2 linked regions of the Oryzias latipes genome follow. The protein of the gene in region 1 purifies or fractionates together with the protein of each later gene. This does not show direct contact. Links are inferred from orthologs where the notes say so. Each region holds a gene or a part of one and is shown in the gene's direction. Other genes may lie near its edges.

The links. The genes of interacting proteins can lie anywhere in the genome.
Region 2: the proteins of ETS translocation variant 5 (region 1) and cop1 purify together in Homo sapiens (affinity purification with mass spectrometry; 6 studies listed by BioGRID and IntAct, counting the BioPlex papers as one, with this or other methods). This does not show direct contact. The link is inferred for Oryzias latipes from reciprocal best matches to the Homo sapiens genes ETV5 and COP1.

Annotation. Positions count from the first base shown.
Region 1 is NC_019879.2:595,927-601,387, forward strand, and holds the start of ETS translocation variant 5, read left to right. Parts: upstream 1-1,922; 5' UTR 1,923-2,087; intron 2,088-2,505; exon of another isoform or gene 2,506-2,970; intron 2,971-3,142; 5' UTR 3,143-3,216; coding exon 3,217-3,264; intron 3,265-3,330; coding exon of another isoform or gene 3,331-3,333; coding exon 3,334-3,424; intron 3,425-3,501; coding exon 3,502-3,687; intron 3,688-4,526; coding exon 4,527-4,650; intron 4,651-4,723; coding exon 4,724-4,954; intron 4,955-5,025; coding exon 5,026-5,315; intron 5,316-5,461. UniProt on the Homo sapiens protein: Binds to DNA sequences containing the consensus nucleotide core sequence 5'-GGAA.-3'.
Region 2 is NC_019875.2:19,747,112-19,751,856, reverse strand, and holds the end of cop1 (E3 ubiquitin-protein ligase RFWD2), read left to right. Parts: intron 1-744; coding exon 745-862; intron 863-1,374; coding exon 1,375-1,499; intron 1,500-1,577; coding exon 1,578-1,738; intron 1,739-1,879; coding exon 1,880-1,924; intron 1,925-2,204; coding exon 2,205-2,222; 3' UTR 2,223-3,244; downstream 3,245-4,745. Other genes in the region: xrn1 (5'-3' exoribonuclease 1), read left to right, coding at 4,535-4,609. UniProt on the Homo sapiens protein: E3 ubiquitin-protein ligase that mediates ubiquitination and subsequent proteasomal degradation of target proteins.

The DNA of each region.
Region 1 (5,461 bases):
AAAAAGGCAGTTCTACACGCCTGAGATATGTGAGCCTTAAATGATAAATCCTGGTCAAGTAAAACCCCAAGGTTTCTAACTGTGGAATTGGGGGCTATACTTACACCATCCAGGGAGACTATCTGAGCAGACAGAGCATCTCTGAGGTTTTTAGGACCTAGTATAATGACCTCAGTTTTTTCTGGGTTCAAGAGGAGGTAATTAATTGTCATCCAGGTCTTGATGTCACTGATGCAGGCGTTCAGTTTCTCTATATTGTCATTTTGGTCCGGTTTCATGGATAAATACAACTGCGTATCGTCGGCATAACAATGAAAATTAATGCTGTGTTTCCTGATTATGTTTCCTAGGGGTAGCATATAAAGCATAAACAGGATCGGTCCCAAGACTGAGCCCTGTGGGACTCCATAGTTGACTCGAGTGCACTGAGAGGAATGGCCATTTACATTAACGAACTGATACCTATCAGACAGATAGGATTTAAACCACTGGAGAGCAGATCCTGACACGGAGGGCCACATTTGGCCCCTGGGCCTTGAGGTTGACACATGTGCTCTAGACAGTGCTCTGAACCTTTTCTCTTCAATGATTTGTGATCTTCACTGGTGTCCATGGATTACATGAAATCTTTCCACCTTTATCCACCTTTGTCATGGTAGGGAGAACACGTCAGTGGGTGGGGGGGTCATCTAAGATAGCATAAGGGATAAGGAAGGAGAACAGCAGCGCCATAAGCTCGCTGTTTGAACGCCTCCAAGTGACCACCCACCACATCTGCTGCAGCGAGGACAACAGCAAAGCCAGACCTGCAGGCTCCTCTGGTGGTTCTGATCCACCTGCCCTCCCCACAAGCTCAGACCTGTCAGTCACATGCAAACATCCACACGCATGTTTGTCTGTCCTTGTGAACTCTGCAGTAGTCTAGTCATCTCTGCAGGTTTTGTGCAGGGATGATAGTTTCCATAGCAGCTGGTAAGTTTCATCGTGTGACCTCTGCACCCGGCGGTCTCTAAAAACATGATCATGACAGAGCGAATGCACCCCCACCCACCCCATCATGAGAAGCTAAGAAGCATTTTTGAGGATAATTTAGGGGGGGGGGGGGGGGGTGCTGCATTTCTGCTGAGATGAAGAGATCAAACCAGAAACCTTTCAGCCTTTTTAGATTACAAAAAAGAAACAGTCTGAGGGTTTTTGAAGAATAAACTTTTTGGAACTTAACTATATAAAATTTTTAGTTGTTTTATTCCTTTGATTATTAATAAAGTGACTTATAAATATACAACATGACTAATCTACTATTGAAATGATAGATATATAGGATTTTTACTTTCAGTTCATTTAGAAATGAAAAAGTCAAAATCTGATTTAATCAAAATTCTTCTCTCTTCTCTGTTAAAAGTTTCACCGAGATCAAAGAAAATGTGGTCACGTGGTCTTCAGCAGTCCGTCCACTGCCTTGTTTCCGGTCTCTGCAGAGACAGAACGCTCCTGAAAAGTTCATGTAAACTTTGGGTCATGTATGTAAAAACATCTGGACAGTCCAGATGAAGACACGAGGCTCCTCCTCTTCATCCACTCCACGGTCCTTCAAAGGCCACGTGCGTCTGTCTCCGAGAGGTTAAATCTACCTTCATGGCCCAAAGAGCGCACAGAAAGCTACACTTTGTTCCGACGGAGTGACGCCATGACAGTCCGCCACGCAAATCACGCAGGCGTGATGTCCACGCCGGACTGGCCCTTTAACGCGCTCTGTGGCAGCGGAGCTCGAAAAACAGTGAATGAAATCCTGCCATTCATAAAAATAGGCTTTTGTCGAACCCTGATTGGTCGGATGTCGCCGTCGAAATAAGACATGAGTTTACGAGCCGCTATTGGCTGCTGTGTTGAGTGACAGTTGAAATCGACCAATCAGCGAGCGTCACGGCGAGCGCTCGAGCCCAGGGCAAAACCGAGGCGAGCTTCAGCGAAGCGCTCAGTCAACTTTTGGTTTCAGTCGGGGAGCGTCGGTTCTCCAAAGTTCGGCGTACTGGTTCCGTTTTTAGCGGTTTTCTGTTTAACCTGAAGACGTTCAGCGCGCGCTAAAGGTAGGATGAAGCGCGGGAATTGTTTGGAAAGCTTGTTTTTGGTGTCTGGGTTTTTTTTCCAACAGAATTTTCAGTGCGTCACTTCAGAACCAGTTTTACTTCAGAAAGCTGCAGGTTTTCGACGCGCGCGCGCTGAAATGACTGAATGACGTGCGTTGGTGCTGGTCCGGGTTAACTGCGCAGTCGCTGGTGCGCCTCATCTCCGTCTGTTTGTGATTTTATGAATGGACTCCCCCCCCCCCCCCCCCCCTGCTCTGTTTTTCCACACGGATCGAGTTTCACTTCATTGAGAAAAACAAGGGAGGGCACATGGGTGGGGGAGGGACAGGAGGCAGTGTCGGGTGGACTACCCCCCCCCCCCCCCCCCCGCCGCCGCCGCTGCTGCTTTATCCAGCCGTTTTCAGCCGTTTTTTTTTTTTCTGGCCGTGAAGTGTTGCCGCCTGAGTTCATGTGTCTGTGTTGCGTTCACGGACCGTTCTCCTACGCGCTGTGATGACGACTATAAACTTTAAGAGAAGTTGAAGCGTCGCAGTCGTTTCCAGCAGTGATGCTTCGATGGCATTGGATCAGAACCACCAGGCAGCTCGTCCTAGTGCGTTCCTGCATGGCAGAAGCTCCTCCCCCGGACTACAGGGAACAGTAATGTGATTACTGCCAGCAGCGATCTTTATGCATCATCCATTATCAGAGAACAGAGCAGTGAGTCATGAGACTCTGTGGGGAGAAGCACAGCGCTCACTTTGAAGTGAGACTTCGTCCAACAACCACCTGGAAGTCTCAGACCGGCTCCTGTGGATCCCGTGGAGCCGTGGCGTGTCAGGAGTCTGAGGACGTGGTTGAATCCACGTCTCCAAGTGGATTAGCCCCGAAAGAGTCCGTTTATGTAAGAGAGTTAGTGTTGGCGGCGGCTCCATGGACGGACACGCCGCCTTCCAGGCTGTTTGTGTGTGAAATAGGCCTCAGATGCTGGTTGTGGTGATGATGATGACGATGATGATGATGTGGGCGTGCTCATTGAATGGAGGTGGAGCTCAGTGTCTCTGTTGTGTGTTTAGTGCCCTGTGGACAGCGGCGGCTTTAAAGCACTCGCCATCCCCTCCCCTTCATTTTGGACCCCCCATCAGAGAACATGGACGCCTTCTATGACCAGCAGGTCCCCTTCGTGGTTCCTCCCAGCGTAAGTCACGCGCGGCGCTGCAGGTTGAGGCGTGGCGGCTCAGACTGATGTTCTCGTCTCTCCCAGCAGCAGGCGGCAGCCATGGAGTCGTCTCCAAACCGGCCTGTGAGCGACAGGAAGAGGAAGTTTGTGGAGGCGGAGCTAACTCTGGACACGGAAGGTAAAGGATGCGAGGCGGCGCCGCTCAGGTGTGTTTGGGTTCCTCTGAGCTAACGGGTCCTGGTTCCTGTCCCGCAGAACTCTTCCAGGACCTCAGCCAGCTGCAGGAGATCTGGATCGCTGAGGGTGAGTTCTGGACCGGCGGAACCAGCTCTGCTTCTGACCCGTATGCGGTCCAAACGAAGACACTGACGTTCTCCCCCCGCTCCACAGCCCACGTTCCGGATGACGAGCAGTTTGTTCCAGACTTCCAGTCGGACAGCTGTGAGTACCTGCTCTGTTCCGGGGGGGCGCGGGGGGGCGTCACATGAGCGAGGCCCCTAATCTGATTTTCCACTCTCCTGCACGCCGCTCTGCTCTGCTGCAGTGGAGCACAGAAATGCTCCGGGGGGGTGATGGCGTTTGGTTCTGTCAGTGGGCTGCTGCACTGGGTTTGTGTGGGGGCAAAGGTCGTCTGCGGGAACAGGGGGGTTCTTTGGAACGCCCCCCACAGACAAACATCCACCAACGTCTTGGTTTTCCTGGAATCCGGATCAGAACCGTACGGCTGGAGATTGTTCACCCTTTCTGTTGCAGTGCTAACGCTAGCTTGGAGTGGTTGTGTAAGCTAGCGGGAAAAAGTGTAAACAAAGGCATCATGGGAAATGAGGGCGGCTTACTCCACGCCAGCAGTCCCGCCCATAACTCAGAGATGAACTCCTGCTGCTCTGCAGAAACTAGGTCCTAGAAAACGACACGGGATTATAATTTAGGCTAAAAACGGCAGAATACTCATCAAAAGACGACTGGGAAGGATTTGAGAACAGATCAGAAGAGGATCAAAACCATCTATTTTAAAAACCACTCCATTAAAGTTTTCTTCACCTTGAGCGATCTGATTGATCAAAGTCTTTCCACACGTTGGACTGGAATGGACCAGAATGGAATGGAATGACACCACATGTGCGTTGTCCGCTGTGATTGGTCGGTCTGACCTTATAGTAACTTAAACCTGCTGAACCTCAGTCCAGATTTTCCCGGTTTTCATTTGATTCATTTATTTCAATTTCTGGCTGTTGACAGTCAGGTGATGGTTTCTGCTCCCCTGATTGTCTCCTGTGCAGTGATGTTTCACGGCCCTCCTCCAGCCAAGATTAAACGGGAGCTGACCCCCCCCAAAGAGCTGTCCCACTGTCTTCAGGACAGGACGCCCACCTCCTGCAAAGACAAGTGCCTCTACAGCCACAGGTAGGTTTGCCGCATGCGTGCACAGGCGTCACGGCGCCTGCTCCACATAACCACGCCTCCTTTTTGGCTACAGTGCCTGCGACCGGAAGTTTAAGCCATTGACCCCTCCCCTCACGCCTGCCTCCCCCTGTGAAGGCTCCAGTGGGGTGACATCCCCCCGCTCTCACCCCCGTATGCCCAGCTCAGCAGCATGTCCACTTCAGCAGCATCCAGAACCAGGGGCTCTGGTGACACACAGCCCCCCCTTCACGGTGCCCTGTCCCCCCATCAGCCAGGATGCTAGCAGCTTCACACCTGAGCACAGGTGAGCGCGCCTCCTCCCTCATTTTCCCCGTCTGTATGACCCTCGTGTGACAGGCACACCTCCACCTGCAGGTTCCAGAGACAGATGTCGGAGCCCTGTCTGCCCGTCCCCCCCTCCCAGAGCCAGGCCCCGCCCCGCTTCCTGCCACAGCCCCCCAGCAGTAGCGCGGTACCGCGTGACGGCCGGCCTTCCTTTCACAGGCAGATGTCCGAGCCGCTGGTGGCCGTGCCCCCCCGGGGTTTTAAGCAGGAGCTCATCGACCCCCGATACAACGAGCAGGGCAACCCCGTGCCCCCCCAGGGGGCAGCCTTTCACCCCATGGCCATCAAGCAGGAGCCCCGTGACTTCAGCTTCGACTCTGGTGAGTGTGACCCCCCCCCCCCCATGTGGGTGTGGATTCACATGTAGACTGCTTGCCCCCCCTTACATAGACTGAAAGCCTGCAGTGAGCTTTACTTTCCTCTTTGTGGGACGGGGTGACGTAACATCCAATCCTCTTAGGGTCTT
Region 2 (4,745 bases), on another chromosome or scaffold:
AAAATGTTGCATAATGTAGGTGGAATTTATATATAAAAAAAGTCAAAACAGACAAGCTTTTAGAAAGAAAAGAGAACTGTTGCTCTCGCTTAAGATTTTGCAATTTCGGCTATTTAGATACAAAATACAAATTGATTTTAAACAAAGAGAGAGAGAGCCTAACTCCTTTTAACAGAACTGGATACAAACAGTGTTTTATTCTTTTTAGAAAGTAAAGGGACAATGTAGTGTCACGCTAACATATTCAAGGTTTTTCCTCAGTTAAGGAGCATTAAAAATGTTTTCTGTCATTGCTATATAATATTGTATTTCTTTTATTTTATTCAGCATCACATCTCAACTGTTTTTCTTTTTGTTTGTTTGAAAGACAATTAATCCTGAACAATCCAAAAGAACTTTATTATGTCCTGACAGAAGAATATCTATGAATGATCATAGATATTTTATTATAGGGGTATTCGTGTAAGTATTCTAACTCTGAGCAGAAACTGTGTGGTACTTTGCTGTAAGTTTTCATTCTTGGTTTACGTTCGGAGTGCAGCTAGGAGATTGGAAAATAAAAGACTAAAATAATTTTCTTTTTTTAGTACCAAAACTAACCACAGAGTTGCAGATCAGGAAAAAATGTAATGTTTGTGGTTTAATACCATCATGTTTTTATTGACAGAAAGCAACAACAGTTGTGCTTCATCATTTTCTGGCCCAATTTGAACATTTTGTGAAATTTATCTCTTTTGTCCGCAGACCACTGTGTCCACTACTACGATCTCCGCAACACTAAGCAGCCAATCATGGTTTTCAAAGGCCACAGGAAGGCCGTGTCCTACGCTAAGTTTGTAAATGGGGAAGAAATCGTTTCTGCGTAAGTCTGTTTACCTTTGCTTCCATCTTTAATGTTTTAAGTAATCGTGTATTTGTTTTTAAATGTTAAATATTTTAGTATATTTTAAAAATGCAATGACAGACAACGTCTTACTGCTTAACGTTTTCTATTAAGGACTTTAATTTTATTAATTTTAAAACTTTTATGTTAATAATACAATTAATAGAGATCATCCTGTGCTAGTGGCAAAACAGATCAACAAATATTTAACATTTAGTCTGGTTCCTATATAATCCTATATAACACATGAACAGAGGTGAGAAAAACACATTTTAAAGCTTTAAACGAGAGCCGCTAAGTTTATTTCTTTCACAGAAGCTAAATTGATTAAAATACGCTTTCATATTTTTAGCAGCTTTCTTGCATATTTAGACTTCTCAAACAATGCTTTTAAAACTGTAAAGAAACTACTTAATAACCAAAACTAAAAAAATAGGATAAAGAAGGATTTGTGCACACACATATAAAGAGTACATGTTCTGTGTTCATAGTTCGACGGACAGCCAGCTGAAGCTTTGGAACGTCAACAAACCTCACTGCCTGCGCTCCTTTAAGGGTCACATCAACGAGAAGAACTTTGTTGGACTGGCGTCAAATGGAGACTATGTTGCCTGTGGTATACGTTCATTTGAAACGTTGACGCTGATGTTTAAAGACTAGCCATTAATATAAAGTGTTTTTATGTCCATTTTAGGAAGTGAGAACAACTCCCTGTACCTGTATTACAAAGGACTTTCCAAAACACTGTTAACATTCAAGTTCGACACGGTGAAGAGTGTTTTGGACAAAGACAAGAAAGAAGATGACACCAATGAGTTTGTGAGTGCCGTCTGCTGGAGAGCCCTGCCTGATGGAGTAAGTGTCACTTCACTGGTCAACTATACTTTTTTCAATTCTGCCATTGTAAGCAATACTTTAAGGCTTTTGTCAATATTTTAAACAAGGCTTTCATTTACATAAAATACCTCTGATTTATTCAAAATGATTTGCTTTTAGGAGTCAAATGTTCTCATTGCTGCGAACAGTCAAGGAACTATCAAGGTTGGTGTTTTAAAAAATATACAAAAAAGATGTTTTCTTTTTAATAGTACCGTTAAATGTTTACAGCTCTTAAAAACATCTGTTTGAGTTTTTTTTTATTATTCCAGTATCAGTGCATAATTCCTCCCATTTAATGAGAATTTACCAGGAAAAAAAATACAATTGCAATTATTTGGGGGGGGGGGGGGGGGGAGGGGGAGTGGTTTGTCAAAAAATTGCTTAATAAAGAAAAAAATGTCTTTAAAACATCTAAATGTCTGTATCTATTCCTCCCTGACAGGTTCTTGAACTTGTCTGAATTCCTGCCAGGCTTGGGCTATCATGACCTCTATCTTTAGGGGGGCAGGGGTCAGCCGTGAATGGGGAGATCGCCTGCTGATCAACGGAGGAGCAAAAAGAAACGGAATCCATCTGTTATTTCACTGAGCTTTGTGTGCGTGTGACATCAGACAAATGTCGGCCCGTGGCACCAGTACAGCAGGCGGAGATGTGCCGGCGTTTGAGCTTTACCGTTAAAGAACCAAGCTGGGGCACAAAACAGAGGAAAGCGGTTTTGTTCCTAATCCGTCACAGTTTGTCAGCCACAATACAACACCTCTCTCTGGTTTTATACCAAATCTTATTATTTTTTTACTTTTGACTTTTTAACTCTTTAACCATTTCTGTCAAAGGCAATTCAGATAAATGCAACCTCCTGCATTTTGTCTTTTAAAGGCCAAAGCACAAAACAAAACATGCAAACTTAAATTCCCCCTCTGTCAGCTGTCCAGTTTATTCCCTATTTGTGTTGTTCTTTTTGTTGTATATTTTGTTTGTTTTTCCAGATTGGGAGACAGCAGGGTTTTTTTTTTTTTTTTTAATAAAGGTGACTTGAATTTCATTTTGTCAAGTGTACAGCAGTTTTTCTGGCAAAAGCAACGTAGCATCTCAGCGTATCTTTTTCTCAGAACAAAATGATACTCCACGTGTTTGTTTCTATAACCACAGCTATTGTTGCTTGATTCAACCTGCAGTTAGTGGAACTGGACTTTTTGATGGATTAGGACTGTTGTAAACTGATAACCACAAAGCCTCAGATGAAGTTCTTTCAAAGTAGCACTGGGATGTTTCTTTTTATTTTGTTTTTAATGCACAACTGCAGGCATGAACTGAGTATCATTGCATTTTGGGCGCCGCTACCAGTTTTTGTGGAGTTCCACAAGGACATGTAAAAAAAGAATAATGGAAGGATTGAAGAAGCCACCAGGATCTGCCAATTTTATGATTGATGAATAAGAGAGGTGTTTTGTATTTGCCTAACAATAAATTATTTAAAACATTTTGGTATGTGTGCTTTTTGAAAGTCTTTGATATTCTCTTTAATTACAATGCAATAGGTTGCTTGGAAAATATGACAAACCAGCTTTTTTTTTTTAGTACAAATGAGGAAATCTAAGATAAAAAGTTGAGGTTAGCACATACGTAATTGTACTAAGGTGAGGTAAACTTTGTCCTCAGAGAGGAAATTTGTTCCTGGCCACAGAGCTACTTACCTGAATGAGAATATTAACAGTACACAGAACAAATAATTAAAACGGGAATATACAGAATTTCCAACAGACCTGACTCACCGTTAAGAACACGAATAATAAAATGTTTAATTGAAACCTTTACCACAATGCTGAAAATAATTTCAGTAAAATGCATTATCAATTCATAAAAGGAAAAAAAATCTACTGTTGTTAAAACTAGGGACTAAGTATTACCCAAAATGATAAATACATATAATTATGCTCCTAAAAGCAAGCAAGAAGAAGGCCGATTTTATTTCTAGATGTCAAGTACTATATTTAAAAAGATATTGAAAGCCTATTAGAATGCCAGAGCTGTATTACCAAATACTGTATATTTTTTGTTTTTACCCTTAGTATAGTAATGTTTTTCTATATTTAATTTTTAGTCTCATTTTGAAAAACCAACATACAGATGGATAAACTGTACTTTATGCAGAGCTATACTAAAATAATATTTTCAGCTCTCGACTCAAGAAAAAAATACAAAATTGCATTTCTCTTTTGACTTTTCAGTACAATTTACCAGAAAAATTACATTCTTTAAATTATAATAGCCTGAAAATTAATGTAAAAAGGAAAAACGGTGTTTTTCCGCTTAGGTTCATCTGTTGAAGTTGTCGCAATGCCTACAACACAAACAAAAGTTCAACACAAATAAATGGAAAGCCAAACGAATTTATGTGCTAGTAACACTATACGCAGCCGTTCAAAAATAAACAAAAATATGGAACTTAACTATCTTACAAAGTACACTGTGTTGTGTATTATTTTTAGAAACCGCGTACAAAGATAAAACGTGTTTTTTCGTAAATCTTCAATCGAAAAGATTTTTGTCAACTGAAAAATACGCCAAAGGAAACTGGTGAGCGGAACTTATGTTTTACTGTTGTTTTCCAAATACATGCGGAGTAGTTTAGCGGATGGACAACTAGCTAGCAAACGGAAACAAAGCCGGACTCTAAAGCAAGTTCTGATGTTACCGAGTCAAACATTTGAGAGTACTTAGAGATAACCTTTCAGTGTTAACATTTTTACAGTCTAGAGCTTTGTGACGAAGATGGGAGTACCCAAATTTTACCGTTGGATCTCGGAGCGCTACCCCTGTCTCAGTGAAGTTGTCAAGGAACATCAGGTAGGACCGAGCAGTCAGGGTCGATTGTTTCACAATTCACACCTTTAGCATAGCTAGCCGTTTGCTACAGTTGGAGGCGAAACTTTGAGCCGCCTTTGCTCACTCTTAAGAGCATTATTTTTGAAAAAATAAATAA